Linked DNA regions of Macaca fascicularis. The protein of the gene in region 1 purifies or fractionates together with the protein of each later gene. This does not show direct contact. Links are inferred from orthologs where the notes say so. Each region holds a gene or a part of one and is shown in the gene's direction. Other genes may lie near its edges. The genes, in order: COPB1, COPG1, COPA, COPG2, COPZ1 and COPE.

Region 1 (4,267 bases):
TGTTGTACACACATCTTGGATTGATCTCAAGGGAATTACACTGAGTAAAAAAATCCAGTCTCAAAATATTATTGTATAATTCCATTTATATAACATTGAGATGATAAAAATCATAGAAAACTATTAGTGGTTGCCACAGGTTAGTGTGGGAGGTGGCTATGGCTATCAAAGGACGACATGACAGCATGAGAATCCTTGTGATGGAACTGTTCTGTGTCTCGACTGTGTTGGTGATCACACACATATAAGAATGATAAAATTGTCTACAAGTGAATATAAAATGAGTACATGTAAAATTAGTGAAGTCTGAATAAGGTTGGGTGAATTATGTCTGTCAATTTCTTGATATTGTACTATATGCAAGATGTTACTATTGGGAGAAACTGGGTAAAGAGTATATGGAAACTGTATTCAAGTCACTCTACAACTGTTTTTTAAAAATGAGTGCACAGAATCAGAGGAGGCACTCTTAAAGTGCTGTCAACACATGGCTTTTGTAATACATTTTGGGTGCTCAAAGAATTTGTAGTTTGCTTGATGGTTCTAAAAAGAGAAATCTCAAAAGAGCTAGATCCTACATAAATGAGGTACTATTGGTGTTCCATCTTCTGAGATGAACCTGTTAATTAGGGCAGTTGCCGTCAGATCTCTTTTTATTCACAATATTTTGCTTAAGCTTTAAAATATTTTGTTATTAATAATTGACCATAAAACCTTTTGGGGGGAAGAGGGAGGGGTAGGGGCGGGGCGTGCTATGGAACTTCAAATGGGCAAAACCAAAAGTACTGTGGCTGATTGCAGCTGTAACAATTAGGTCTTTGGAGATACGTAAAATCCTTTAAAACAGTGACTGTCTCCCTTTATGCATAAAAATTTTTTCTAATCTACTGGGTGCTCAGGAAGGATCACGGAAAGAGGGCATTATTAAATAAAAAGAAATTATACCAATGTGGCTTTGGATTTTCAAATAACTCTAGCCCTACCTGCAGAGAGGCAGATTCAAACTACAAGCGATATTAAGGACTGAAATGGATTTTAATCTAGTGACCATTAATAAAATAACTGAATTAGTTTCCCAATAGTATTAGTTACTTTCCCAGTTTATTAGGGGGTGAGCAAGAAAAAGCATTCCTGGGTTTCCACTTTCCAGTCCAGAGCTGTTTTTCACGGGAATACAGCCCTGCAAAAGTTTCCCTCTCTCCAAACACTTCCTACCCTTGACTGTTCCTGGAAGAAGGAACGATTTCCAGTTAGAGTTTAAATGAGCATAGTGCCTAACTCAGCTCTTGGCTTTCAGGGAAAACTAGAAAATACGTGGTTTCATTGCTCTGCGGCCTAAACCAACCCCGGACGAGAGAAGAGTAAGAAAATAGGATACACTTGCAGCGCGCAAGCGCTGCACAAAGAAGGCATGTCCTCTCTGAGTCGCCGTAGGTGCTAGGTGGCTGTGGCTTTGGTTGTTACCCCACCCCCTTCCACGTCAGCCAAGGACTCTGGAGCCGCCGCCGCTGCTGCGGGTTGGAGCCGGAGTAGACGGATCCACGGCTGCCCCAAACCACTACCCCTCGGAGCCTGGTAGTGGGCCACAAGCCCCCAGTCCCGGAGGAGTGGTGGGTCGGGCAGAGTCGGAAGAACTGGCTCTCTAGCTGGAAGATGCGGAAAGGGAGCGACTAGGCCGCTTGCGTCTGGGCCTGGCAGAGGGGACGGGGTGGGGGTAGGGGCGGGGGCCTAGGAAGCTCCGGGTCGGACGCTCCATCCCGACCTCTGTATTGGTCAGGGGTCTTTCCCTCCCAAGACCCCGAGGCTTACCCTTTCAGGCCCAGGCCTGCTTTGCTGGGGGAAGGGGAGGAGGAAGCGGGTCGGGCGAGGTGGGGGTGCAGCGCGCGCTGATTAAGGGACCCGCGGACGTATAGTCGGAACCCACCAAGGACCGCGATAAAGCGCTTTAGGGTTTTGGCAGAGTATTCAGGCACAAGGTCTCCTAACTTGAGCATGCAGATTGTGTGTTGTGTTAAAAACTGTATGTTCCATAATATTGTGGGGTTTGGCTGGGGGACTGTCACTGTTCTGTGGGCCTTCCTTCGGCTGTACAGCATTCTCAAACACTGGACTCGTGTGCGATGGAGGGAGTGATAGATAATATACTTTATGCCGGAGCTGACAGTGTGGTTTTTACTAGAATTTATTTTTATGGGAACACGATATAGATTGACCTGTCCTTTCTAATACTTTAAAATGTCACTATAGATACTGGTTTGTGGGTTTTTTGTTTGTTTCTTTGTTTGATTTGTAATCATGTACCTGTGTTTATTTTTCTAGATTTTCTGGCATCCTTAAGTCTTGTATCAAGGATTAATTATAATATAACCAGAAACCATGACGGCAGCTGAGAACGTGTGCTACACGTTAATTAACGTGCCAATGGATTCAGAACCACCATCTGAAATTAGCTTAAAAAATGATCTAGGTAAACTTTGATATTATTTTGAGAAATGAAAAAAGAAAAGACGAAAATAAACTCATATTTCATATTCCTTTATAATTAGAAATGCTTAATTTTTGTCTAAAGTTTTTCTAGGATCTCTTCAATAGACCTTTTATTAAATTAAATGCGAACTCCTTTAGACTAAATATTGGTTGTTTGAAATAGAACATCTCAGTAAACCTAAAGAGATTTTAATAGTTTAGATATTCCTCAAAATGTCATAATTTTTGTGGAGTTCAATATATTATACTTAATGTAGCTGATGATATTCTCTAGGCAACAGATTGAGGATGTGTATTGGAATATCTTAATTCTATCGTGCACTTAACTTCATGTTACTTAGCTTGTAAAACCAAAAGAACTTTGTTCTTTGGGTTACCCACCCAGACAATTAGATCAACACTGGAATAAACATGTATTTTCCCGAAAAGTTTAACTTTTCATTTTTTAAGCATTTTTGCAAACAAGAAAACAACTATATTTGTGAATTTTATTTTTTTTAATGTTTAATTTTTGTGGGTATACAGTAGATGTATATATTTATGGGGTACATGAAATGCTTTGATACAGGCATGCAATGCATAATCATCACATCATGGAAAAATGGAGTATCCATCCCTTCAAGCATTTATCTTTTGTGTGACAAACCAGTTACACTTTTAGTTATTTTTAAATGTACAATTAAATTATTATTGAGTATAGTTACCCCGGGTGCTATCAAATATTGGGTCTAACTCATTTTTTCTTTTTTAGCCATCTCCGCTTTCCTCCCACTACCCTTCCCACCTCTGATAACCATCCTTTTACTCTATCTCCATGAATTTGTTTGATTTTTAGCTTCCACAAATAAGTGAGAACATGTGAAGTTTGTCTTTCTGTGCCTGACTTATTTCACGTAACATAATGACCTCCAGTACCATCCATGTTGTTGCAAATGGCGGGATCTCATTCTTTTTTATGGTTGAATAGTACTCCATTGTGTATATGTACCACATTTTCTTTATCGATTTATCCGTTGGTGGACACAGGTTGCTTTCAAGTTTTGACTGTTGTAAACAGTGCTGCAACAAACATAGGAGTGCAGTTATCTCTTTGATGTACTCATTTCCTTTCTTTTGGATATATACCCAGCAGTCAGATTGCTGAATCGTATGGTAGCTCTATTTTTAGTTTTTTGAGGACCCTCCAAACTTCTCTGTAGTGGTTGTACTAGTTTACATTCCTACCAACAGTGTACAAGGGTTCCCTTTTCTCCACATCTTCACCAGCATTTGTTATTGCTTGTCTTTTGGATAAAAGCCATTTTAACTGGGGTGAGATGATATCTCATTGTAGTTTTGATGTGCATTTCTCTTCTGATCAGTGACGTTGAGCACCTTTTCATATGCCTCTTTGCCATTTGTATGTATTTCTCAAATGTCTGTTCAAATCTTTTGCCCATTTTTAGATCAGATTATGAGATTTTTTTTTTCCTATAGAGTTTTTTGAGCTCCTTACATTTTCTGGTTATTAATCCCTTGTTAGATGGGTAGTCTGCACATATTTTCTCCCATTCTGTGGGTTGTCTCATCACGTATGTCAATTGTTTCCTTTGCTGTGCGGAAGCTTTTTAACTTGATATGATCCCGTTTGTCCGTTTTTGCTTTGGTTGCCTGTGCCTGTGGGGTATTACTGAAGACATTTTTGGCCAGACCAGTTACCTGGAGGTTTTTCCCAATGTTTTCTCGTAGTAGTTTCATAGTTTAAAGTCTTAGATTTAAGCCTTTAATCTATTTTGATTTT
Region 2 (4,087 bases), on another chromosome or scaffold:
CTGTTTGAGCCCACCCAGAGATGATAGAAAAAAAAAAAAAAAAGAGCTGGGTCGAAGTTGTATTTATATACACTGTAAACATCCACAGGAGTAGGGCCTCAGTGAAAATCTGATGGGAGAACGAATGGGGAACCTTCATGTGGACTCAGTGGGAGTATTATGTGTCAAGTTCAGAGAAGACACAGCTGAAATGGAGACAGAGATTCAGGATCTGTCAAATCCAGAGGACACAGCTGGGGTAGGAGGTTTCTGCTGAACTAGAAACAGCTGCTGCTCCTGAAGAGCTCATCATCCCCTAGAAATGACAGGCATAGGAAGCAGACCTCTGAGAATGCTATGTAATTCCCTGTATGCCAGATCCTGGAAGCACTGACACTAGGCAGGCTTAAAAGAGATGTGATCTCACAGCAGGCAGCTCTAGGATGAGTTAGTAGATTGGTACTTGGGATTAGGGCATTTTCTGTTGAAGGGATACCACTTGCCTGTGGGCACCTCAAGGATAGGTACCTGGTCAAGTTGTTCTGTGTCCCCAGAGTCTAGCACAGTCCTCAGTGCCGAGCAAGCACCTGCAGAAAGAGTTGGCAGGAAGGGATGTGTGGATGAGTTCAGAGCAGAGTGTGTGGATGGGTGCTTGATTTCTATCTCCATCTCTCCAGCTGGAAGATTTGGAAGTTACTGTAGCTGATCACATTCAAAAGGTCATGAAACTGAACTTCGAAGCAGCCTGGGATGAGGTAGGGGATGAATTTGAGAAGGAGGAAACATTCACCTTGTCTACCATCAAGACACTTGAAGGTAAAATCCTGGGAATGCCACCTCTGGCCTACTTGCCGTTCAAGATCTTTGGGTACTGTTGAAGTGCTTATACCTTTTCTCTCCAAGGATCCAGGGCCATGTCTGGGGCACATATGTCAAATGCCATTTCATTAAAAGCCCTTCAGAACATGGGGGAGTGGTGGTGGCACAAAGGGCAGACAAGATGGCTTAACAATATTGGGATTTCTCACTATAGAGGCTGTGGGTAATATTGTGAAGTTCTTGGGAATGCACCCTTGTGAGAGGTCAGACAAAGTGCCGGATAACAAGAATACCCACACGTTGCTTCTGGCTGGTAAGTGGCATTTCCAGGTGGGGAGGGCCTGGATAGCTTACAGCCTGGATGTCCACTGGATCCTGGGCTAAGGACTTAACTGTAAATACGGGGAGTCAAAATTCACAGCATTTAAAATTCGCAAACTATAAAATAATCTGCAGCGAAATGTTTCCACCTTACCTTGGCTGCCAGCCATTGAGATTCCCTTCCAAGAAACGACCAGTGTTACTATTACAAACAATGCCTGTATAACCTTGCAGTTATTTTATTGCTATAAAGGAACACATTTCCTTTTTTTAACTCAAATGTTTATGTACAAATGGTATATTGTCCTGCAATTTGCTTTTCACTTTACGATGCATCTTAAGAGATCTTTCCTGCCAATATGTAGAGCTTCCTCATTCTTTTTCTTTTAATTGTGGTAAAATATACATAAAATTCACCATTTCAGCCATTTTCAAGTGTGTGGTTCAGCGGCATTAAGTACATTCACACTATTGTAAAACTATGACCACTATCCATCTCCAGAACTTTTTTCATCCCAAACTGAATCCTTTTTTTTTTTTTTTTTTTTTTTTTTATAGCTGCTTAGTATTCCATTGTGTGGATGCACCACATATTCTGTGGAACAGCCGCTACTGATGAACATTTAGTTTGATTTCAATCTGTTGCTATTACAGATGTTACAGTAAATAATCGTGTACACACACACACAATTTACTTTGCATGTGTACACTGAGAATATCTGTAGGATAAATTTTCCAAGGCATCACCAGGTCAAAGTGATTTGTGTTTCTCATCTTGATAAATAACTCCAAGTTGCCTTTCATAGAATTGTATACCTTTTTTCCTACACTGTGGACAACACAATATGTTACCACACTTTATGATCTTTGCCAGTCTGTGTGGACAATGATATCTTAGTGTAGTTTTTGTATTTTCATTGAAGTTAAGTATCTTCTCAAATGTTGAGGCATTTGTATTTCCTTTTCTGATCACTGTCTTCATATCCTTTGTCTTATTTTCTACAGGGTTGGCTGAGTGTACCTGCACTCATTCTCCTTCCCAGATTACTTACTAGCAAACTCCAGAAATAGCATTTTATATGTAAATTCTTCTGTATCTTTATGTTTCTCTAAGAGATAATGACCCCTGCCCTTTTTTAAAGGACAATACAATTATCATACCTAAAACAGTTAACAAAAGGAAATGGGATGATTTTTTTTTGGCTAAGTGTTTATAAACAGGGTTGAAAGGAGGCTCTGCTTCAGTACCCTGTCTACAGCTGACAGTTTGTAGCCACATTGAAACAACCCAGTCCCCTGGGTCTTGCAGACACCTGCCCTGTGGTTTTCTCGTGGTGGGGCTGTCCCCTTCATTTGTGCTGTCAGATTCAGCCAACATGCAAGAGCCTATGTGACGTCAGATACGAGCCTTTTATGTCCATCAATTCATTTGAACTTAGCAGAAGCCTGAATATGGTATTATCATCCCCGCCATTTTGTAGTTGAGGATACTGAAGCCCAGAGAGACAGTGACTTTTTTTTTTTTTTTTGAGACGGAGTCTAGCTGTGTCACCCAGGTTGGAGTGCAGTGGCACAATCTCTGCTCACTGCAACCTCCGCCTCCCGGGTTCAAGTGATTCTCCTGCCTCAGCCTCCCGAGTAGCTGGGATTTCAGGCGCCCACCACCATGCCCAGCTAATTTTTGTATTTTTAGTAGAGATGGGGTTTCACTGTGTTGGCCAGGCTGGTCTCAAACTCCTGACCTCATGATCCACCCACCTCGGCCCCCCAAAGTGCTGGAATTACAAGTGTGAGCCACCGTGCCCAGCCGAGAGTCAGTGACTTTCACAGTGAAATCCCTCACTCAGGGATTTCAGCCCAGCTCTCCTGCCCATTTCACTATACCACAGCTGTCTTGATGGGCTGCTGCAAATGCCATCCTTAGCCTGCCCTGTACAATCCCTTCTGCTGTATATACCTGTACTTCTGTCTTCCCTTCTAGGTGTGTTCCGGGGTGGTCATGACATCCTGGTGCGTTCCCGGCTGCTGCTTTTGGACACAGTGACAATGCAGGTGACAGCCAGAAGTTTGGAGGAGCTGCCAGTAGACATCATCTTGGCATCTGTGGGATAAGCAGCCAGCCTGCATAGGACCTTATGCCCTTCCCCCCCAACACTACCTGGAAGTTGTGCCTTCCTCATGAAACTGGCGGAAACCCCTTCCCAAGCTTCTGTATTCAAAAACAATTAGGAATCATTGCAGATTTTTTTTTTTATTCTGCCCTTACCCCCCACCCGGGACTACTTGGGGGTGCCTTTTTTTTTTTTTTTTTTTTTTAATAGGGAATGATTTTAGCTTGTCCTAAATCTTGCTATCCTTCCTTCCAGGAAAGGGACATTGTAAATGAATAAAACATTCTCGACTCCTCTTGAATTTATCCCCCAAGAAACCATCTTATCCCTCTAATAAATCAGCATGTATTTATTGAATGATTGCTACACCTTCCCCTTCAAGGCCTCCCCCAAGAGGCAGAACACGTGCCCTGTCCCCCTTGTACCCACAGCCCTTTGGCTGTTTTAATCCTGTGAGGCAGGACCCTCTCCCCGTCATCGCTGTCCCAGCACCAAGCCCAGGGGTGGGAGCGGTACAGGTTAGTTGAGTGAATCAGCTAACAGGCACTGAGTTCCCACTCCCTCCCACTCGTGCTTCTTCGCAACGCATCCTCCTCTGGTAGTCGATAAACGGAGGCTCCAAAGGGCTTGGGTCCTGTGGCCGTTCCAGCATCAGGTCCTATGTGGAGTGTGCCCTGGGGTTTCTGCTACCTGTTCAGCGAATCAGCATAGGCGAAGAACAGCCCTCTAGAGTATTCTCTGTTGGTTGCAGATAAAGAAATCTCCGGTTTAGGTCCCAAGGGGAGCAGGCTTTTAAACTCAAGCCAGGTTATTTTACCAACTTTGAGAACAAAGTACACCCGTAAGGACTGTTTTAA
Region 3 (4,097 bases), on another chromosome or scaffold:
ATGCTCTACATGGCACTCAGCTATGTGCCTCAAAGGGTTATTAAAAAGTCCATGTAGCGCCATTGACAGTGACACTAAAAGAGAGAAAACTTGGTCAAAGGAAAGGTGTTTGACCTTAGATTTGCCAAATTCTGGTTGCACAGGTGATCACACTTCTGCTTGTATATCCTGTATGTATATTACTAACCAGTTAATACAAAGGTGCTGGGCTAAGAAAACTTTCTGAGACATTTTTCCAAGAGTGTGAATAGAATTGAGAGAAACCTTATGACATACACTGGTCAGTTAATTTAACATCAGTAGGTCATTTGTGTGCCCACAGTGTGGGGCAGCTGTAGTTTCTCCTTTGAGGATCTTTAAAAACAATGTGAACTAGGGGAAGGCACAGTCATAGTTATATACAGACATTTGCATTTTAGGGCGTGACCAACTAAAAAGCCATGTATCAGTAAATAAACGCGTATAAGCAAACAGTCAAGTATATTATAAATGCCAAAAGTTCCTTGAATCGTTACTTCACGGTTTGGACAGTTAAGAGTACCCATATCCTACCTTATTCTTGCTTTACTGATTAAAAAAACAAAAACAAAAACAAAACCTGAGGCAAGGCAGAGGGACACAGACTTTGGGTGTAACCAATAGAGGAAGAAATAAGAAATCTACCTTTTAAGCGCCGCACAGCACCCACAGAACAAGATTGCTTTCGTCTCAAAAAGTCTAAACGCGGGGAAGAAAGCTAACTTTCACACCTGTTTCTTTCGACTGTGGGGTGGGTGGCTGGGGTTGTGGGAAAAACGAGGCATCTGGACAAAGTGGGAGAGGGTCGAGTTCGAAGTCCAGGAAGAGGCCTAGAGAAGGGAGTGAAGCGACACGACATGCTGCGGGGGAGAAGGGACCTTTAGGTCCAGGCAAAGGGGGAACTTCTGTCGTGGGAACGAAAGAGAAAGAGGATTTACAGGGTGGGGGGACAGAGGGGCAGCAGGAACCAGAAGGGAGACAGTGGCGCTCGCGGCTGGGCCGATCCGGAGAGTTCCCTTTAGAGAACGGAGCTCACGGGTGGGGAGGCCTCACCTGCTAGTAGGACGCAGAAAGACAGAAGACGAAGGAGACCCCGACTTCCCGGGTCAGCCCCAGAGCCACCCCCTGCCGTGGCCATCTTGCCTCTCTGCTGAGCGGAAGTCCCCGTTCGGCTCCTGCCGGGTAGCGGCCTCTCTAGGCTACCACTGACACCATCTCTGTGGCCCGGAGCCCAACAGACCGGAAGTTCGTGTTTCCAGGAGCTTCCGGAAACCGCGGCAGAGGGTAGCTGACGTGGAGGCGTCCGAAGGGCAGCAGGGTGTGTCGGGGCTCGGATTAAAACATCGGAGTCGGAGACCTGAGAGATGCTAACCAAATTCGAGACCAAGAGCGCGCGGGTCAAAGGTAGTGGAGAAAAAAAAGGGGAACATGGAGGTTGGATGTCAAGAGCGGCGCAGACACCGGGGAAGAGAAAATGGGTAGACGTGCTGGCCGAAGTGGGCCCACTAGACGGACCCAGAGGAAGACGGAGGGTGGGAGAGAGGTTAGGCCTGGCTAGCGGTTCTCCAGTCCCCTCTTTGGTGTGTCCTTGGGCTTCGATTTACCTATAAAGTGGCTCCCACACTGTAGGTGATTCCTTAGACCACCTCCCTATTCTTTCTTCTCCCTTTCTCTCTTTGCTGTGCTCCCAACTTGTATTGTTCTGCTCCAAAGGCCCTGTGACCTGTTGACTTTTTGATTGTGTTATATGGAGTGGCCCTGGGGCTTGAGTCTCGATCTCTGTTACTTGCACCCGAGTCAGTAGCTTTTTTGGAGACGTGTAGTGGCTACCTCACTTAAGGAGGCCTTGGCTGCAGCATCTCAACATCAGTACCTTCATTCGGCTTTATTCACTACCCGGAAGTAGTACTTTGAGGCTTATAACCCCAATAAAGTCTCAACTTGATAGGGTTGCCAGATAAAATGCAGGACACCCAGTTAAATTTGAATTTCAGGTAAACAATGAATAGTTTTTTTAGTCTGTCCTTGCTTACCAGAAGTTCAAATATATCTGGGCATCTCGTATTTTTATTTGCTAAGTATGGCGACTCTAGAGCTCGAGTGTGGGTCGTTGGGGGTGGTGGGCAAATACTGAGATCTCAGTATTAGCCTCAGAATGTTAAAATGTGAAAGGCAGAGAGAAGTAAGGTCTCCAGAGACCTGGAAAAAATAGTATCTAGAGTATGTAGTAAGATGCAGCGTAACAAAATGGTTAGTCTTTGAAAGTGGTTGGTCTTTGAAGTCAGATGGGCTTGCTTTGGAATCCTGAGACATCCACTAACAAGCTGTATGACTTGGGTGACTTAAGGTCTCTAAGTGCTATTTCCTCATCTGTAAAATAGTCTTTTATAGAAAGAATTAAAATGAGAAAGTATGGAATGTATTTATTGCAGCACCTGGTGTAGACTCAGTAGTGCAAAAAGTGGAGGCTGCTCTCAATGTGTGAATATATTCTGAGCAGTTTCTAAGTCTCTTGGGAAACTTGACCTTGAAAGGTGGGTACCATTAAGAATTTCTGAGACCTGTGTAGGTGAAATGGGTCTTCATAATCTTTCAGTTTTCTTTTCTGCTCCTAATTTCTTGCTGGGCAGTAGAGAAGGAAAAACAAAGATGTTGTAATAATTGAGGGCGAACATCCATTGTTGAGTGTACTTATATATCATAATGGAAAAAAAAAAAGAGAACCTAATGGAAAAATAGACAATTTAGAAGAAAAATTGTAAATGTTCAATAAATAATTAAAACAGTTCCACCTCACTAGTAATGAAAGAAATGCAAAAAAAAAAAAAAAAAAAAAAGTGAAGTTACTTTCTTGGGGGGAGGGTCTTAGATTTATAAAACAAAACAACAAATAGCTGATAACATCCTGTGTGCAAAATGGGCACCTCCATAAACTTCATGAGACTGTATATTGATAAAGTGTTTTTACATTTAAATATATGTACTAAAATGTTAAGTGCACATATTCTATTCCTGAGCAATCTCACTTACAGGTCTTTAGCCTAGAGCAGTAATAATGCAAATAGGCTAGATTATGTGTAGAAGTATCTTCAGTAGGCTCTTCTGATAGCCAAAAATTGGGGGACAAAGGTAAATGCCTGTTAGAATAATGTAAAAGTTTGCAGAACAACATCATAATGTGATCCCCACTTTCATAAAATAGTAAGGCCTATGTCTATGTGTAACTGCATTACAAATCTGAAAGGGTACACTCCAAACTGTTAGTAGTTGTTACCTCTGGGGACTTCCATTTCCAGTCTTGATAGAATAACAAACAAAATGTATGAAACAAAGGTTCATACATTGCTCACAGACGTTGGGTGACACGCAGTGCAGGGAAATGATTCTTGAGAGAAGGGAAATAAACAAGGTGAGTCCTATGATTGTCATAGATTACTGCCTAGAGAGTTTTCAGGCTTCAGTGAAAAGGGGAATCCCTTGTTCTTTCTGAGGAGACAAAAGTTTAGAGTGTGGGGAAGCAAAGATGCTAGATTTTGCAGGGCAAAATGCTGGAGAAGAGGGGGCTGCAGAGAGAGAGCACTAGAGGTCTGCAGGATGTCCTCTCGGGTCTTTGAGTACTGATCTGCATGTGAGAAAACTATTCAAAACCTGACAAAGAACCACTGGAAAGGAGAAGGCAGAGCAATCCCCAGAGCTCACACAGGGCTGGGACTAGTTTGTGTTCCTACTGGCCAGAATGGAAAGACTTCCTGATATTATAGAGCTTCAAATAGAGACCTCAGATGGGCTATTGCTTTAATAATGGTTCCAGATTAAGCCTAGAATGAAGGCTGCTGTAGCCCCCCTGTAATAGAACCTAAAAGCAAGCCTTGAAAGGATCAACTGATTCCAAGTAACTTAATTGCATCCTAGAGCAAAGCCCAACAATATTTAAAGGAATATAACAAACATCTAGTACCAAACATAAAATTCATGATGTCTGGCATCCAGTAAAAAATCATCAAGTGCGTCGAATGAATAAATGAGCCTAGGATTAACCTTGCTGTTTCTTTTTCTTATCAGAATTGACAGAAGGTGAC
Region 4 (2,308 bases), on another chromosome or scaffold:
ACATGACTACTCTGTACCTCAGGGCTACAGATGTTGATCTGAATTTGGCTCTTGCCAGATGTTCTGTTTTCTTGCTTTCCTTTGCTAAGGGCTCCAGCATTAGATTTATCCAGACTACAGAACTTAAACTATTTTGGTGGTAGAGTTTTCTCTAGGCTCCAGAGAACTATATTAATTCCTTTATCTTTGCCCTATAACAGAAAGGACTTTTCTTTACTGACTGCTTGTTACCCACTAGCTGGAAGATCTCGAAGTGACTGTGTCTGACCACATTCAGAAAGTACTGAAGCCTAACTTTGCTGCTGCTTGGGAAGAGGTGGGAGATACCTTTGAGAAAGAGGAAACCTTTGCCCTCAGTTCTACCAAAACCCTTGAAGGTGAGACCCATTTTGCTATCAGTATATTGCCTGATAGCAATAAACACCTAATAGGTATATTTGTTACTCCAGAAGAACTCCTTGTAAAAAAAAAAAAACTTCATAAATCTCTTACTTAAAAGGCCAGCACCCTGTCTTCATCATCTAACTGATCAGCCATTTTCTAGTCCAAGTAGCCTCCCTCTACACATCACCAACAGCCCCTTCCACCCCAGCTCCCAGCATAGACTGGTGCAGAGGGAGATCCCTGTGCTTTACTTTCCTAATACTGTCTCATACATCTTCTCAACACAGAGGCTGTCAACAATATCATCACATTTCTGGGCATGCAGCCATGTGAGAGGTCCGATAAAGTACCTGAGAACAAGAATTCCCATTCGCTCTATCTGGCAGGTAAGAAGCTTCCATCAGATTTTCCTTCCATTTTCTTGCAAAGCTTAACAGGATATAGATGGGCATCTTACGCCTTGCTCTTGTCCCATCATCCCATTATATGAGCCACAACGTGAAACCCAGTCAAAATGAATAATTTGTTTTGCATGCTATTCTTAGTTATTCTTTTAAGATGTACATTTGACCTAAAACACTTAAATCTCTCCAACAGATACCAAGGCCACCACCAACATTCCTTTTGAGTACTCCAAATTGGTATTTTTGAATACCTTCTATGTATCTGGTTTCATGGGAATATAAAAAATATATATTTGGAATATATATTTGGAATTTATGCGTAGGATTCAATTTCCACAAATCTCTGGAAAACTAAACTAATAGAAAGGAGATGCAGTGAGAGCATGATAAATTTCATTATCCAGTGCTTGTTTTGGGTTCTTAATATGTTTTTCCTCACTTTTTTCTCTCAGGCATATTCAGAGGTGGCTGTGATTTATTGGTGAGGTCCAGGCTGGCCTTAGCCGATGGAGTGACCATGCAGGTGACTGTCAGAAGCAAAGAGAGAACACCTGTAGATGTTATCTTAGCTTCTGTTGGATAAAGGCTTACTGGACAAGAGGAAACTGATGTACACTTCACGGTCAGCGGGCTTTTAGGCTAGTGGCATCAGTTTCCCAGAATCACACTTTTGAAGATGACTGACTTTGGAGAAGCAAATTAAACATTTGGCCCTGAGCCAGCAGATCAAGCAGGTGTCTATCTTTGTGCATGGGTTGTTTTTTTTTTCTTTTTATTATACTTGGTCAGCTTTGGTATGATAGTGCAGCTTCAGGTGATCTTGAAAATCAAATACTATCCTATACTCCAGCTGCTTAACTTCATTTTATTCTTTAATTTAATGTGTACCTGAAAGCTCCTGGCAATGCTGGAAAATTTTTATCCCAGAGGGGTGGGGGTGAGGGGGAGGGGAAGCCAGAGTCCACTTTTGTCACAATTCATTTTTATTAATAGAAAATAAACACTTATTCCAGTTTCAAAGTTGTTATACTTGAAGTTGCTAATTTTAAAAAATGAATTTTAAATAATCACTTAATCCTGCTTTGACTAAGACAATGAAATGTGGCTTAAAAAAAAAAGTGTTCAGCACCATTTGCTCATAGGTCTTTCAGAGTTTGTTCTTAAAGTTTCTGGAACTTTCCTGTCTGTAAAGTATAGGAATGACTGAGCTACATTGGAAAGCCTCTCTGGGACAGGCAGTGGGGAGTTAAGCAGTCATCATAAAGGAATCAGTGTACATTCAGCATGGTGACTTGGACTACACAACAATCCCTTCCCCTCTACAGTAGCTCAAGAGAAACATGCTTCTAAGTACTGAGGTATGAGGAGTCTCAGACTGTTATTTGCTGTTCGAATTGGTCTTCCCAGCTAATAACAGTAAATATCTGGCACAGATGCTATTGGTCCTTAATGTCCTGTGATTTTAGGTAGTAGTTTGGATTTAGTTCAATTTATTCAGAAATCAAACATGTTTAATTAGC
Region 5 (4,270 bases), on another chromosome or scaffold:
CCAGGGGTGGTGGGCGCCTGTAATCCCAGCTACACCGGAGGCTGAGGCGGCAGGGAGAATCGCTTGAAACTGGGAGGCAGAGGTTACAGTGAGCCAAGATCACACCACTGCACTCCAGCCTGGGAGACAGAGAGAGACTCCATCTCAAAAAAAAAAAAAAAAAAAGAAAAAGAAAGAAAAAGAAAAATTCCTGGATAAGTCTGGAATCTCTTCTTGGAGAGCTCCTAAGGACATAATTTTCAGAGATGAGGGAAAAAAATCCCTGAGGGATAATTAAGGCAATAGGTATCCCTGCCCTAAGAGGAGTCAGGGATCAGGAAACCAAGAGATAGGGGAAAGCCAAGCTTCATCAAAACCATTCCCTATTGTGAAATCGTTGCATTCAGTAAACTTCTCTTTTCTCATTTTGCAACGGCTCGTTTCTTTCCTTTTCTTTTTCTTTCTTTTTTTTTTTTTTTTTTTTGAGATGGAGTTTTGCTCTTGTTGCCCAGGCTGGAGTGCAATGACGTGATCTTGGCTCACCGCAACCTCGGCCTCCTGGGTTCAAGAGAGTTTCCTGGCTCAGCCTCCCGAGTAGCTGGGATTATAGGCATGCTCTACCACGCCCGGCTAATTTTGTATTTTTTTTTTTTTAGTAGATACGGGGTTTCTCCATGTTGGTCAGGTTGGTCTCGAACTCCCGACCTCCGATGATTTGCTCACCTCGGCCTCCCAAAGTGCTGAGATTACAGGCTTGAGCCACCGCGCCCAGCCACAACGGCTTGTTTCTATTGGAAAACCCCAGACCTTACTCCCTATAACCCTCCCTTATTCTAATCCCTTTCCCCGTTTGTCCCCCCAACTCCATCTCCAAAGACGATTGAGCCAAAGTTAGCTTTTACAAACTCTGACTTCTCATGTTCCTCAGGCCCAGCAAAGCCTGGAACTCCACCTTAGGGAGATTGTTACTGCGACTATCATCTTCTGGCAGTCTTGGTTTATGTAGTTAACATGTTGGGCCTTTCTTGGCTCTACTCTATGGTTGTGCAGACTTTCTGTGAGGATGCTAAAGTGACCCGAGCGAGCCTGAGGGAAGGGCTAGCCACAGAGATCATGGACCTAGGGGGCGCTGAAAATAGGGATTATTAGGGGAGGATCCCTGTTAGGAAGCGTCAGCGTTAAAGGCTAAGGAGACACAGCGCCCCCTAAAGAGAGTGCGGTTTAAAATCGCTAAATCAGGCCGACAATATCACGTGTCCCTGGCCCTACCAATTGAAAATTAACAATCGCTTCCTCCGTTCCCCATGGAAACAACCCCGCCCCACCGACCCTCCCGCCCTAATAAGTCGTGAGGTTTTGGCGTTTTATTGAGTATTCAAACTGACAATCAAACACCTGTGCCTTCTGGTTGGATACTCTGCTTCCGGTAAGCAAGTTAGTACAATAATTGGTCAACAGAGCAAGTCTTACCCAATGATCCTTATCCTAGGCAGGGCCTAATGGGGACGTATGGCCAATCAGCGGTGGCGTTACTTTTGCGGCTCCACGTCGGCACCAGCTGCGGGGCAAGATGGAAGCGCTGATTTTGGTAGGAGCTGGAGGGGCAGCAGAGATGCTGTGCTGTCCACAGGGGCCGGGAGTCAGGGTGCAGCCCGAGTGGGAGACGGGGAAGGAGAGTTCCGGGTAATTCTTGGGGACTGACGGTTCTGCCGACCCTTGGAATAAGTGTGTGGCCTAGTGTAGGAGCTAAAGCCTTGGTTTAGAGTAGGAAGCCCTGCCGGGGAGAGGGCATAGAGTCGATGGAAAGTTAAAGGTAGCACATGGACTCCTTAGGATACACAGACCTGTAAGCGTACTGGATTAGGACTCTTCAGGTTTCCCCTTATTTTTAGCATTGTGGATGATATCCTGATTTTAATTTACCAAAACCACCAAACTAGCCCCATATTATGAGAAAAGAATACAGATGTTTTGTCGTTACAGGCTCCTCCTGGTGGTTTCCCAAGTTTGACTCTCCATTGCTGATTCCCTGCCACATTCTTTCAGGAAACTGTTTTCTCTTGGGTTTCCTATTAATCCCTATTAAATAGGTTTATCATGATAAAGAATCAGTGTTTCATCAAAGTTCTGGGATACCTGATAAAGTTAGCATGGATTGTGGAATATTTTTTCCAGACTCCTTATTCTGTTCTCCTTTTCTCTACCCATTGGACCTTAGGAATTCTTTTTTTTTTTTTTTTTGAGACCGAGCCTTGCTCTGTCGCCTACGCTGGAGTGCACACGTGGCACGATCTTGGCTCACTGCAATCTCCGCCTCCCGGGTTCGAGCTATTCTCCTGCCTCAGTCTCTTGAATAGTTGGGACTATAGGCGCGTGCCACCATGCCCGGCTAATTTTTTTTTGTATTTTTAGTAGAGACGTGGTTTTACCATGTTGGCCAGGCTGGTTTCGAACTCCTGACCTCAAGTGATCCGCCGGCCTCGGCCTTCCAAAGTGCTGGGATTACAGGCGTGAGCCATCGCGCCTGGCCAGGAATTATTTTATTTTATTTATTTATTTATTTATGAGACGGAGCCTCGCTCTGTCGCCTAGCCTGGAGTGCAGTGGCGCGATCTCGGCTCATTGCAATCGCCGCCTCCCTGGTTCACGCCATTCTCCTGCCTCAGCTTCCCGAGTAGCTGGGACTACAGGCGCCTGCCACCATGCCTGGCTAATTTTTTGTATTTTTCTTTTTTTTTTTTTTTGAGACGGAGTCTCGCTCTGTCGCCCAGGCTGGAGCGCAGTGGCCGGATCTCAGCTCACTGCAAGCTCCGCCTCCCGGGTTTACGCCATTCTCCTGCCTCAGCCTCCCGAGTAGCTGGGACTACAGGCTCCCACCACCTCGCCCGGCTAGTTTTTTGTATTTTTTTTTAGTAGAGATGGGGTTTCACCGTGTTAGCCAGGATGGTCTCGATCTCTTGACCCCGTGATCCGCCCGTCTCGGCCTCCCAAAGTGCTGGGATTACAGGCGTGAGCCACCGCGCCTGGCCAGGGATTCTCATTGTATGATCTAGGATGCTAATTTCTCCCTTTCTGGTTACATGAGAATTGTGGTCGCTACAAGGAGTGTATTAGCCCTCTTGTCCATATGATGCTTTATGCTTGTTCTAACAAATAAAATACCTGTTACCCCTTATTTAGAACTGAACCAGATAATTTCTCTCAAAAGTGCCCTATTTTGCGATTTGGAGGGGTGTGTGTGTGTGTATGTGTGTGTGTGTGTAGGTAGGTAGGTAGGTAGTTAATGTAGGAATTTAACTCCCAGCCTCCTTCGTTAATTGGCTCGAACTCCAGGCCTCTTTCCAAAGAAGCTTGTCTTTTATTTTCCTTTAGATCTCCTATGCATACATATTCAGATCCTCGTCAGATAAAAGAATAACAGTTTTTAATTCCTCTCTTTCAGCATGTTAAAGACAGATAATTCCGACCATCCTGGCTAACACGGTGAAACCCCGTCTCTACTAAAAAATACAAAAAACTAGCCGGGCGAGGTGGCGGGCGCCTGTGGTCCCAGCTACTCCGGAAGCTGAGGCAGGAGAATGGCGTAAACCCGGGAGGCGGAGCTTGCAGTGAGCTGAGATCCGGCCACTGCACTCCAGCCTGGGCCACAGAGCCAGACTCAGTCTCAAAAAAAAAAAAAAAAAAGAGACAGATAATTCCTTATGTCAGTTGGTCAAATATAGGTAAAAAGCTTAAAATCTGAGTAGTTTTAAATATTTTCTGTACCAGGCAGTTAACAAATATTCTTTTTTTTTTTTTGAGATAGAGTCTGGCTGTGTTACTCAGGCTGGAGTGCAGTGGTACTATCTTGGCTCACTGCAACCTCCGTCTCCCAGAATCAAGCAATTCTCGTGCTTCAGCCTCCCGCGTAGCTGGAATTACAGGCACGTGCCACCATGCCCAGCTAATTTTTGTATTTTCAGTAGAGACGGTTTCACCATGTTTGCCAGGCTGGTCTGGTCTTGAACTCCTGACCTCAAGTGATCTGCTGCCTTGGCCTCCCAAAGTGCTGGGATTACAGGTGTGAGCCACTGCACCTGCCCAGTTAGCAAGTATTTTTTTTTTTGTTTTTGTTTTTGTTTTGGAGACAGAGTCTCACTGTGTCATCCAGCCTGGAGTACAGTGCTGTGATCTCAGCTCACTGCAACCTCTGCCTCCCGGGTTGAAGCAATTTCTCCTGCCTGAGCCTCCCGAGTAGCTGGGACTACAGGCACACACTGCCACGCCTGGCTAATTTTTTTGTATTTTAGTA
Region 6 (3,500 bases), on another chromosome or scaffold:
AGTGGTGGGCCTGTCCCACAGGGTGAGAGTGGGCTTTATGGAGGGAGTGGAGGTCGTGCCCGGAGGAACATGTCGCTGGGCCAGCTTGTAACTGTGCCATGGGGCTGGCGGGGCCTGCACGTGGCGTCACCAGGTCGGAGGCCATGGCTGGTGGTCCAGGACTCCCCTGCTGCCGTTTCCAAAGCCCTTGCCTCAGAGTTGTTCATGCTGTAGCTCCGTCGCCCTTCCCTGCGTTCCATCTTCCGTGGAGCGAGTCTCTCCCGAGCCCTACCTTGTGCCAGCCACCTCGGGGGTCCGTAGCTGGCTCCAGTCCCGCCTTCCCGGGGCCTTCACGTGGTGGGGCGGGCAGGGCAGCTCGGGCACTTCGTCGTGGGGTATGAGCACGCAGGGGAGCACGTAGTGGGGGCCATCCCCGGGCTCTGGCGGGCCCCAAGTGGGAACAAGGCAGGGATAGCCAGGCCAGGGCTCTCGGCCGCTCAGCCCCTCCGTCCTCTGTCCCCACCCCAGGAAGGAACTGAAGAGAATGCAGGACCTGGACGAGGATGCCACCCTCACCCAGCTCGCCACCGCCTGGGTCAGCCTGGCCACGGTGAGTCCTGGGCCACGAGGCAGGCGGGCATTGTGGGCACCTGGCTGAGTAGGGTCTGTGGGCACCCCCACCTGTGCCCAGGCTGCCGGCCACTCCAGTGGGGCTCCAGGATCAGGCCATGGCCCCCTGCCAGCCTGGCACAACTCTCAGCCTTCACTCCATTCCGGGCTTCTCACAGCCAAGCGGCTTGGCCAGAGGCAGAGCGATGGTGGGGACGGGGACGGGGTTCCTGAGCCTGAGGCGCAGGGGGACTCGAGGGTCTGGGTTGGCCTGGCAGCCCCTCCTCCCCCCAGGGCTTCCTGGGGTTTTCTGCGACTCAGCTTTGCTCTCCAGGGTCCTGGTCCCCAGCCAGGGACAGGGTTCAGTGTTCCCATAGCAGCGGTGGAGATGTCCTCAGCTCCCAGGCCTGGGCACCTCTGCCTGGCAACACCCCCCTCCTGGTTTCTGGGACTTGGCCCCCTTCTGAGCCATTCTTTTGTGCAGGCCTGTTAAAATACACTTCCTGGCTGGGCACAGTGGCTCACGCCTGTAATACCAGCACTTTGGGAGGCTGAGGTGGGTGGATCATGTGAGGTCAGGGGTTCGAGACCAGCCTGACCAACATGGAGAAACCCCATCTCTACTAAAAATACAAAATTAGCCGGGCATGGTGGCACCCACCTGTAAACCCAGCTACTTGGGAGGCTGAGGCAGGAGAATCGCTTGAACCTGGGAGGTGGAGGTTGCGGTGAGCCGAGATTGTGCCATTGCACTCTGGCCTGGGTGACAAGAGCAAAACTCTGGGGGGAAGAAATGTGCTCCCCGTCCCTGCCCACCACGGGGCTGGAGCCTCACCCAGATGGACTTCCAGTGGCCGTCCAGTGTGGTGGGACAGGCCTCGGCAGCCCTCTCGGGTAGTTTGAACTGTTTTCACAGCCTGCCTTGACCTCAGGCTCCCCCTGCAAGTATCCCACAGTCCTGAGCAAGCGGGCAGGTCAGAGTTGCTGGTCACAGAGCTGACTCATCCTCCTCCGATGTGCCCGGTGACCCAGTGGTCCCCACTCAGACCCTGGCCCAGCCACCTGTGCCCCTGTGCCCTGGAAGCCCTAAATTCCACCTCTGTGTACCCAGCGCACTGGGAGCCGGGTAGGAGGTGAGGCAGGAGGCGGCCGCGAGTCTTTAGGCCCCGTCAGCAGAGTACAGGTTATGAGTGGTCCCCATGGTGGAGTGGCTGTGCCTTGAACCGGGCATACCAGATTTGTGTCTGTGCAGTGCAGAGCCCCCTCTTGGGGAGGGGGCTGACGGTGGAAGGGCCTGGCGGCCGCAGCACAGATGATGATGTGGGACCCTCCCTGCAGGGCGGTGAGAAGCTGCAGGATGCCTACTACATCTTCCAGGAGATGGCTGACAAGTGCTCGCCCACCCTGCTGCTGCTCAATGGGCAGGCGGCCTGCCATATGGCCCAGGGCCGCTGGGAGGCCGCTGAGGGCCTGCTACAGGAGGCGCTAGACAAGGTAGGCACAAGGCTGTCCCAAAGTGGGAACGGAGGGAAGGCCAGGCGGCCGGAGGGCGGGGTCAGGGCAAACAGAAACAAGTGTAGCAGAGATGCCCTGCGTGTGCGTGTGGCCCCACAGGGCTTCTGAGGCCCAGTCAGCAGCGAGATCCACAAAGCAGGGATCGCACCTGCAAAGAAATCCAGATTCCGGCCTCACAGAAATGGGGCATCTGGGCAGCCTGGGCCTCAGTGGTCTGTCACCTCAGCTGCCTGGCCCTGCATGTGGGACCCCTCACCTGAGTACATATTCAGTATTGGAGAGACACTCCCAGTCCTTATTTAGGGGACAGCGTGCTGTGGCCAGGAGCCCAGGCTGGCTGCAGTCGTCTCCTGTCTGATGTCTGCAGTCTTTTCTTGTCTTTTTTTGAGATGGCGTCTCGCTTTGTCACCCAGGCTGGAGTGCAGTCGTGTGATCTCAGCTCACTGCAACCTCTGCCTCCTGGGTTCAAGCGATTCTTTTGTCTCAGCCTCCCGAGTAGCTGGAATTATAGGCGCTTGCCACCATGCCCAGCTCATTTTTGTATTTTTAGTAGAGATGGGGTTTTGCCATGTTGGTCAGGCTCGTTTCAAACTCCTGACCTCAGGTGATTCACCTGCCTCAACCTCCCAAAGTGCTGGAATTATAGGCGTGAGCCACCATGCCTGACCATCTGCAGTCTTTATGAAGAGTTTATGTTATTTTAAATTTAAAAAAAAATACTATTTTTTGTAGAGACGGGGTTGTTCTTGCTGTGTTGCCCAGGTTGTTCTTGAACTCCTGGCCTCCCAAAGCACTAGAATTACAGGTGTGAGCCACCATGCCCAGCGGATTTTTTTCTTTTTTTTAATTTCTTTTTTTTTTTTTTTTTTTTTTTTTGAGATGGAGTCTTGCTCTGTCCCCCGGCTGGAGTGCAGTGGCACAATCTCAGCTCACTGCAAGCTCTGCCTCCTGGGTTGATACCATTCTCCTGCCTCAGCCTCCTGAGTAGCTGGGACTACAGGCACTCGCCACCACACCCAGCTAATTTTTTGTGTTTTTAGTAGAGACGGGGTTTCACTGTGTTAACCAGGATGGTCTCAATCTCCTGACCTCATGATCCGCCCACCTCGGCCTCCCAAAGTGCTGGGATTACAGGCGTGAGCCACCGCGCCCGGCCTGGGTTATTATTTTTATAATCAAAAAGGACATCAAAGCTTTTTCCATTTTGGTGAAACGGATTTTGGGTTTTATTTGTTTGTTTGTTTGTTTGTTTGTTTGTTTTTTGAGACGGAGTCTTGCTCTGTCACCCAGGCTGGAGTGCAGTGGCCGGATCTCAGCTCACTGCAAGCTCCGCCTCCCGGGTTTACGCCGTTCTCCTGCCTCAGCCTCCCGAGTAGCTGGGACTACAGGCGCCCGCC

The links.
Region 2: the proteins of COPB1 (region 1) and COPG1 fractionate together in Homo sapiens (co-fractionation; 11 studies listed by BioGRID and IntAct, counting the BioPlex papers as one, with this or other methods). This does not show direct contact. The link is inferred for Macaca fascicularis from reciprocal best matches to the Homo sapiens genes COPB1 and COPG1.
Region 3: the proteins of COPB1 (region 1) and COPA fractionate together in Homo sapiens (co-fractionation; 6 studies listed by BioGRID and IntAct, with this or other methods). This does not show direct contact. The link is inferred for Macaca fascicularis from reciprocal best matches to the Homo sapiens genes COPB1 and COPA.
Region 4: the proteins of COPB1 (region 1) and COPG2 purify together in Homo sapiens (affinity purification with western blotting; 4 studies listed by BioGRID and IntAct, with this or other methods). This does not show direct contact. The link is inferred for Macaca fascicularis from reciprocal best matches to the Homo sapiens genes COPB1 and COPG2.
Region 5: the proteins of COPB1 (region 1) and COPZ1 fractionate together in Homo sapiens (co-fractionation; 8 studies listed by BioGRID and IntAct, with this or other methods). This does not show direct contact. The link is inferred for Macaca fascicularis from reciprocal best matches to the Homo sapiens genes COPB1 and COPZ1.
Region 6: the proteins of COPB1 (region 1) and COPE purify together in Homo sapiens (affinity purification with mass spectrometry; 6 studies listed by BioGRID and IntAct, with this or other methods). This does not show direct contact. The link is inferred for Macaca fascicularis from reciprocal best matches to the Homo sapiens genes COPB1 and COPE.

Annotation. Positions count from the first base shown.
Region 1 is NC_088388.1:51,257,321-51,261,587, forward strand, and holds the start of COPB1 (coatomer subunit beta), read left to right. Parts: upstream 1-1,467; 5' UTR 1,468-1,575; exon of another isoform or gene 1,576-1,610; intron 1,611-2,319; 5' UTR 2,320-2,376; coding exon 2,377-2,467; intron 2,468-4,267. UniProt on the Homo sapiens protein: The coatomer is a cytosolic protein complex that binds to dilysine motifs and reversibly associates with Golgi non-clathrin-coated vesicles, which further mediate biosynthetic protein transport from the ER, via the Golgi up to the trans Golgi network.
Region 2 is NC_088376.1:154,147,323-154,151,409, reverse strand, and holds the end of COPG1 (coatomer subunit gamma-1), read left to right. Parts: intron 1-656; coding exon 657-795; intron 796-1,012; coding exon 1,013-1,111; intron 1,112-3,100; coding exon 3,101-3,231; 3' UTR 3,232-3,587; downstream 3,588-4,087. UniProt on the Homo sapiens protein: The coatomer is a cytosolic protein complex that binds to dilysine motifs and reversibly associates with Golgi non-clathrin-coated vesicles, which further mediate biosynthetic protein transport from the ER, via the Golgi up to the trans Golgi network.
Region 3 is NC_088375.1:100,716,086-100,720,182, forward strand, and holds the start of COPA (coatomer subunit alpha), read left to right. Parts: upstream 1-1,297; 5' UTR 1,298-1,382; coding exon 1,383-1,422; intron 1,423-4,097. Other genes in the region: NCSTN (nicastrin), read right to left, coding at 1,072-1,156. UniProt on the Homo sapiens protein: The coatomer is a cytosolic protein complex that binds to dilysine motifs and reversibly associates with Golgi non-clathrin-coated vesicles, which further mediate biosynthetic protein transport from the ER, via the Golgi up to the trans Golgi network.
Region 4 is NC_088377.1:172,023,845-172,026,152, reverse strand, and holds the end of COPG2 (coatomer subunit gamma-2), read left to right. Parts: intron 1-238; coding exon 239-377; intron 378-671; coding exon 672-770; intron 771-1,240; coding exon 1,241-1,371; 3' UTR 1,372-1,808; downstream 1,809-2,308. UniProt on the Homo sapiens protein: The coatomer is a cytosolic protein complex that binds to dilysine motifs and reversibly associates with Golgi non-clathrin-coated vesicles, which further mediate biosynthetic protein transport from the ER, via the Golgi up to the trans Golgi network.
Region 5 is NC_088385.1:61,173,065-61,177,334, forward strand, and holds the start of COPZ1 (coatomer subunit zeta-1), read left to right. Parts: upstream 1-1,470; 5' UTR 1,471-1,488; coding exon 1,489-1,662; intron 1,663-4,270. UniProt on the Homo sapiens protein: The coatomer is a cytosolic protein complex that binds to dilysine motifs and reversibly associates with Golgi non-clathrin-coated vesicles, which further mediate biosynthetic protein transport from the ER, via the Golgi up to the trans Golgi network.
Region 6 is NC_088393.1:19,305,493-19,308,992, reverse strand, and holds part of COPE (coatomer subunit epsilon), read left to right. Parts: intron 1-507; coding exon 508-589; intron 590-1,926; coding exon 1,927-2,082; intron 2,083-3,500. UniProt on the Homo sapiens protein: The coatomer is a cytosolic protein complex that binds to dilysine motifs and reversibly associates with Golgi non-clathrin-coated vesicles, which further mediate biosynthetic protein transport from the ER, via the Golgi up to the trans Golgi network.